Linked DNA regions of Drosophila melanogaster. The protein of the gene in region 1 interacts with the protein of each later gene in a pairwise test. Each region holds a gene or a part of one and is shown on either strand. Other genes may lie near its edges. The genes, in order: CG1552 and CG15136.

Region 1 (3,843 bases):
AGAGCCGGGGAAAACGCCAGTTTTCTTCAACTGCCAGTCGAAGTTTTCGAAAATGTTGTTTTCCACTTCTCCCGCGTTTACTCGCACTTTACGTTTTTTTTTTTTTCCTTTCATTTTAACTTGTGGATCTGCGCCAAAGTTTTGTAGTATTAGTGCGTGCAGCGATTCGAGGCGGCCGAGTTGCAACTTTTACTTTTCATCCCGCTGCAGTTTGTGGTCGTATCCTGCAGCTCAGCTCAGATGCAGTTCCAGTTATCCAGTTATCCAGTTACCGGTTCCCAGATGCCGCGGGCCAACTGCTGAAAGCAGCTGCCACAAAAAAAAAAAAAAAAATACTTTGGGGCTAATCCCAAGTCACAGTCCTCGTTGATAATTTCCGGAATGTGCCGCGAGCACATGTGGCCCAAGTAAGTGAAAGAAATCGAGGAAAGGGCAGCAGTTTTCTCACAGTCAGGTCTAGGAATATAACTCATGGTCAACAACACATAACCATATACATTGTTATCGGAATATGCCAACTTATATTATTTCCTTGAAATGCAAACCATTTTGATAATTGGGAAGGTATTTTGCTAGCTATTTTCATTACCGAACACAATACTTTCAATAGTTTTCCCTAGGAGTGACAAACAAAAAGCAGACGCAACTAAGACATTATTTTCTAATGCATCGTTGACGTTTTCCTTTTTGCACTTCTGCAGTTCTTGCGTCTTGCATGGGACAGCACAGGAAAAAAGCTTTTAAGCTACTTAAGGTTGTTGGCAGGACGATGTTGCCACAAGAAGCGAGTTGGGGATAAAGACCCAGCTAATGAGTTGACAGACCACGCCCCGCAAAATACAGTCGCAAAAAGGGAAAACAGGCAACGGAAATGGCTGGGGTCAGAGGGCAAAGGACATGGAACAGATGGTCCTCGAGTACTCGCATTTCCGAGAATGCAACGAGGAACATTCCTCGACAAATGGGTCAAAGTGAGGTCAACCCCACAATAAATCAGCAAAGGACTTGTTTATCAAAATAAATTCTACAGAAGCAGAAGATTGAAATAAACATGAACAGGTTGTTTTGGCAAAATATTACCAGATTTTAGTCTCCAAATTATATTGTTGATTTATACCATTTTTAGATACATTGCTTTTTTTTATCAATACTAATTTTATAATTTATAGCTTTGCTAATGATTTCAGGCATTTTGTGATCACTTTCAAAAACAATCACAGCCTAAAACAAACAGATCACCATTTCCATGGGCTATTGCTGTTCTAGTGGGTCACACAACTTGCACTTGACATTATTGCGATTGCTGGAAAACAAACGATTATTATGACAAACTGTTTGGGTCCAATCTGGGTTTGTTTTTCTCGTCGCACAGCATCGCCTCGCATGTACTTGGATTGGAACGGTTTGGATGTGACGGGATGGGATGGGATGGGATTGGCTTGGATCGGGGGCATTAATCATGGGCGAGAGCTTGGGGCATGGACATGGACATCGGCCTGGGCAAAACGCAAAATTTGCATTGCAATTTTATTCTTGATTTAATCAAGTGCCGTGGCACAAACGCCAATTTAACTACCCACACACTACCCTCACACATACACAAACGCTCACACACACCCAAACATCCGCAGGGCAATGAGAATGCCGTCAGACGTTGCGTATACGTAATGCTTTTGGTTTGTGTAGCATTATGGGATGGTGTGAGCTTAGCGCGTAGTTTGCACCCGCCAGCCGAGTCACCGAGATGTACCAGCTGGAGAAGATCTGGGTCCTGCTGTGCCTGGCCCTCGTCGGTGTCCTTGGCTTCGGCCAGTTCCACATGAAGCACTATCAGCTGCAGCGTAACTACAATACGCAGGAGGATTCCGGCGAGAATGACAATAGTGTGCTGCGTGAGTTTTCTTCTTCTTAGATTCCACTCGATACACAGAGGAAAAAAGTTGGTAACTTGCAAATATGGGCTGGCCATCTTGCTATTATGCATTTATTCTAGCAGTTTTTGAGTTTTTTGAATATTGATACGTTTATTTTTTTCCATGCAGGAACCTTTCGCCGCTGCATGTGGGAGCAGTCGAAGTTTCTGCCCCGCCGCCTCGTCCTTTTGAGCCTGTGCTCGAATCTCTTCTGCGAGAACAATCACATAATGCCCCGTTCCAGGTCTATTTTCGTAGTGGAAAAAATGTCTAGGCCGAATGAGTAGTTGACCAATGCAATTCTATATAGCTAAGCATGTGCACCCATGCCCACCCTAACCCAACCTAGCATGCCCTAGAAATCCACCCTCTCCCCCCATGAAATATCCCAAAAAAACGCCCGTTGAAGGGAACCTGAACTAATGCCCTGTCTCTCCCGCTGTTCTGTGTCTCCTCCAGCTGCCTGGACATCCTGCCCGAGCAATGCGAGCAGGGCGATGAGGAGGAGCTGATGTACAAGCCCTTCCCCGACTGCTGTCCGGTTTATTGCAACCTGAAGCGTCGGATGCAGCGCCTGCGCACCATGCACTTCCGGCACCGCCTGCTGCGCAACAAACAGGACGGCTCAGCGGGATCCGCTGGCGGTGGATCCGCTGGTGGCGACGGTCCCAATAACTCGCTCCTCAGTGAGTTTGTCTACAACAACTACTAGGATGACAGGATGGTTTTGCTCGGCAGGATGGCCAACTAGGACGACGCGACGAGGACAATCCAGCAAATCAAATTATTCTGCGATTTGTGAACCAACCGGTCAAAATGGACAAAAAAGGAAGTCGCGTCACCGCAACACTGAGCGGAAGTGGATCCAAAATCAAATTATTTGGATTGTGTTAATCTCAATATGTATGTAGGCTATAATTTAGATTGTAACATATATAAGCTGGTATTCATCAAACTGAGCACAAAAAAAAAAAAAAACACAATCAAATTGTTTCAATGTTAAACTAATGAGCAAAAGTTTTTAAGAACATATAATATAATATTATATATATTATGTTTCAAGTAACTAGCTGCTATCAATGTGAAATTAAGTTATAATTTACAAGTTGCTTAACGTTTTTGTGAAAGTAAACAATCAGATTTATTATGTTCTGGAGTTTAAGGTTCCCATTACGCACTTTTTCTCAGTGGAATCTCTCCAATATCCAATTGAAACTGTCACTCGTTTGGAATTCGTCTAGACAGGCTCTCGAAAGTCCAAGTTGATGGACTTTTTTCTATTGCTATTTTGAGGCCGTGACCAAGTAGCTGCAGCCCTTTTTTCCCAGGTTTCCTTCATTAGGGCTTTTTCGGAGTCTCAAGAGCTGTGCTCTGCCCAAACTGCGATTTCTTATTTTTTTTTTTTTTGGCCAAAGTGGGCGGTGAATTGTGGTGTGGTGTGGCGATATATCCTGCAGCAGTGCTTCCTGTTTCCGCTTATCGTTTTAACACTTTTATGGAGCAGATGCAGCTGCAGAGCTTCGGAGCTTCGTGCTGGTGCCTTTGTCTTCATTTTTATCTGCAAACAAGCAATAAATTTTATTTTAATAAGCAACACTTTTGATAGCCAGTGTCGAGCTGAAAGTTCCTTCTCCTTCTGCCACTCGTTCCCTTACCATCGCTTCCCTTCCTGTTTCTGCACTTGTTCTGTGGCTTGTCCTTGTCCTGGCAGTCGCTGCCATCCTGGCTGTATCCTTGCTGTGGCGCAGCAGTAAATACAAAGGATACTTGGCATCATCGGCTCACGGTTAGCTGCCATAATGTTGCGGTACAAGGCAGGGGCGTAGTAGTGGTAGTAGTGGGGGTAAGAACTAAGTAAAGTGTGCAAAAAGATATTCTATTGTAAATAAGAACTATAATATTTATTATTATAAAAACATTAGCTTAGAAA
Region 2 (3,755 bases), on another chromosome or scaffold:
AAATTTATTTATGCAATTTAACAAATAAAAAAATAACCCCTTTTGGCCTTCCTAATCAAGTTTGTCAACGATTTAACGCACATCAATTAAAGCCGCTCAAAGATGGAACGCTTAATGATGGCCTTTGTTTTCATCACTCTCCATGGCCAGTCATTCGACCAGTCAGTTAGTCAGTCAGTTTGTCTATCTGCTGTCCCTTTATATATATTATTGCGGATATGTATGTCTGTCCCTGTGGGGCTTCCCGGCAGTGCTGCTGATTTTATACATTCAAATTAGTTCGCTTTGCACGAGTGGCCCTCGAATGAGAGAGAGTACTGCTGTGATATTTCCCGACCACGGCTGACTGGCCAGGCAACCAAGCAACCCGTCGGAACACGGCACAACCGCTCCAATGCCACTACAGCATACATACATACACAAAGATATATGTATATACATATATATATGGAGGGGGTCCGGATTGGGGGGCTATCAAGTTGCCTGTGAAGTGCTTATCCTCAAATCAGTGACACTTGAATGTGCAGCCCATGTGACTGACCAAGTGGGTGACTGACTGACTGCTGAGCGACCAGAGCTGTCATCTTGGCTACTTTCCCTTCACAAATAATATAATGTAATATAATACAATTTAATATTATTCGTTTTTATATTAACGGTTTATATCTGAGGCATATTCTGACATGACTTCTTCATTCAAAGCTGAATAAAAGATATGATACGTTACTCCTTCAAGGGAAATACGCCAACACTGAGCAGCAACTTTACAAAAGTGCGAAGACTTCGTTTCATCTATTTACTTTGCCCTTCGACCACCGCTTGCCATTTGAATCTGAAACTGTCCAACAATTTGAGTGTTGTTTGTGTCCCTGATTGAGTAGCTAAATAAACTTTGGCCTTTTATTTAATTTAACGGATTTATGACTGTCGAAGATAATTGTCAAATGGCTTAATAGTGTTATTGAAACAGGAAGAACTACATGGTATTTTTTTACACAAAATGTATAGAATAAGAAGTCAAAAAAAAAAAAAACATCCCTTCAGAAACTAACAAATTAGTCGGACTAAACCTATAAGCTGAAAAACCTTGTCTATTCCACAAAATGGCCAATAAATTAGCGCAAGTAATTTGCGCAATTAACTAAAAACAGTTAAAACCGCTATTTGTTCGGTTAGCGAAATCGCTCGATACAGCAGCGCGAATGCAATGAATTGGCAATAAATTCTCGGTTCTCGGTTGAAACTTTCTCTAACCCCTTTCTCTTTATTTTATTCGATTGTGTGGGTGTGTCGGCAGAGTCAACTAATTTATGTTTTAACACACTCGCACATGCAAATTAGCACACACACAAAATGAATGCAAATATTGGGTTCCAAGGGGGCTGAAGCTGCCATAATGAGCTCAAGTTGGGCAAATGGCTGAATGGGTGAATGGGTCTGAGGTTTTCAGGCGTTCTTTGCGGTTCATCTGGCAACAACTGTTGACAAAATGAAATCAATAAATTTTAGCGCAAATCAATTAAAATACACCAGCCAGATTGAATTAGAGTGCTGGGTGCTTTTGGTCTTCTTCTTGTTGGCCAAACGAAAATATTTGTCAATTTGCGGTATTCACAAAATTAAATTTGACACACACGCACCAGCAAGATGGAATGTCAGGATGAGTTTTAGGCAATTTTATCTCACTTTGTGTGAAATTTGTTATAATTTATTTATACGGCTTATTAAAATTATTGTAAGTTCGGCCATTTAATTAAAAGTCAAACTTTATTTGCAACGAGAAAAGCGGAGCAAACATGACAGTTGAAAGTGGAATCAAATTTATGAAATCGAATTATGGCATGCATGGATTTGAAGCAGTTTTCGGGTTAAGCCCCAATAAGATGGATAAACCCATAAATCCTCAAAATAACAATCTAACAGAAATTGAATGGAGGTAAATAACCTTTGACATTTCAAAGAAATTACAAGGAATCGGGACAAAGGAGCATGGTTAACTTACTTTTTTTGAAATAGTTTTCTATTTAATTGAGTTGTACGTTCTGCAATCATAAATTGTGTATGTAAATAATAGTGTAGCTTTAATCGTAGTTGACTTTTCATTACTTATCCAATTAAATTTCAAAGGCCAAGCATTAAAAATAGTAGGAACACAAATTACTTCGTGAAGACAAACGTTGAGAGATAAACACCCTCATAGCAAAAATCGGCCAATACCAAAGTTTTGGCAAAATATTTTGGAAGCGGCTGTCTTTGGTCATTCATTAATATTTGGCACTGAATACCGGTAAGAAAATCAAATAATCAGGTAGTTTGCCCTGCCATAATTGTCAACTGAGCATTTAAGCAGAATAGAAAAGCTACTTGAAATCGTCCGGCCGGAACTCAAATGTAGATTTGAAAAACTATTCAAGTGTTAAGTGCTCTGCTGACCATGTTGAAGGACACCGCCACCGCATCGACCAGCGAACTTGCAGGGGAAGTGGGTGACGCCCATTCGACTCCTGGCAGCTGCCCTCCGCCCGCCGCGGGCGACACGCCCCCCGTCGTTAGCCGACCGCTGGACCGACGCCTAAACCCCAACGCACCTGTGTTTGTGCCCGACTTCAAGGCCAGCCAGGTGGCCAAAAAGCTATTTGATGAGTGTAAGTACGGAAAGGAAATAATGTTTATTTAAAACAATATATATTGTATTTTGAAGCCCTTTATATATATTATGCTTTGACTTGCATAGGTTTTTAGTATTGTGCATTTATTTATTTCTTTTTAATTTCCTGATGGATTTATAAATTTAATACCCATGCAGTATCTACGTACACCCGGTGGAGTACGGCAACCTCGGAGGACATATGCTACGAGCCCCGTTACGAGTCCATCTGGCGTGAGGCCAGCATCCAGCAGCAGCAGGGTCTGCGCCATCCGGGTTTCGTTTACAGCCTGGATCCTGGCGAGGAGGAGGTTGGCGAACTGGAGTTTGACGAAGTCCAGGCCATGAATATCGGAGCCGAGTCCTATGATCCCAAGCTAGGAAGCACATCAGTTAGCCAGGCAATGGAAGTTCGCGAAACTGTGGGTGATGTGGAGGAACCTTTAGATGAGGAAAAAAGGAATGGCTTTCAGAATCGCCACTCCGCCAGACCGGCCAAAAAGTGCTGTCTGGTCATGTAGGTCCCACGGAATGGCAAATTTATATATTTATTTTCCATTTGTTTTCACACCTACATGCAACTCAGTAAATTGCTTCCTTACTCTCTCAATTTGTGTATTTTTTTCCTATACCATAGGTGCTTATAAGGGATTTCCCTTTTAGTAAGTAATTACATTTTTTCTGAATTTAATACGCTTCCAGCGCGAAGAATTAAATTCTACAGGTATTTTCCAACGTCGTTGCAATTAAGACGCTTTTCAGAACTTTCTAAATGCACTCCTTTCAAGCCCACTTACGGCAGACTGGAAGAAAGGAAGCTCCGTGGAGAAAGGTCGACTATACCTATGACATAATTTATAGCCTACATTTTAGCGCCCTAAACGGGTTTGTTTTACTTTCCACGAAGGCTCTTGCCTTTCTGCCTTCAGCTACTTTGTCCTGACTTTCTAATGATGTTGAATATGCATGAAAACTTTTGCCGCACGCAGAATTCTCCTCGCTGGATGGCAGCTGAAAGCTTGATTCACCTGTCTATGGGTAGCATGGCAGCAGGACTGCCTTCAGATTTAACTACCACTGAAAATAGTACGGGCTTAAATAACTAATT

The links.
Region 2: the proteins of CG1552 (region 1) and CG15136 interact in a two-hybrid assay, tested with the Drosophila melanogaster proteins (one large-scale study listed by BioGRID).

What each region holds. Positions count from the first base shown.
Region 1 is NC_004354.4:11,051,387-11,055,229, reverse strand, and holds CG1552 (uncharacterized protein), read left to right. Parts: upstream 1-1,673; 5' UTR 1,674-1,744; coding exon 1,745-1,892; intron 1,893-2,042; coding exon 2,043-2,196; intron 2,197-2,372; coding exon 2,373-2,625; 3' UTR 2,626-3,059; downstream 3,060-3,843.
Region 2 is NT_033779.5:17,046,661-17,050,415, reverse strand, and holds CG15136 (uncharacterized protein), read left to right. Parts: upstream 1-2,134; 5' UTR 2,135-2,287; intron 2,288-2,347; exon of another isoform or gene 2,348-2,350; 5' UTR 2,351-2,434; coding exon 2,435-2,645; intron 2,646-2,806; coding exon 2,807-3,168; 3' UTR 3,169-3,255; downstream 3,256-3,755.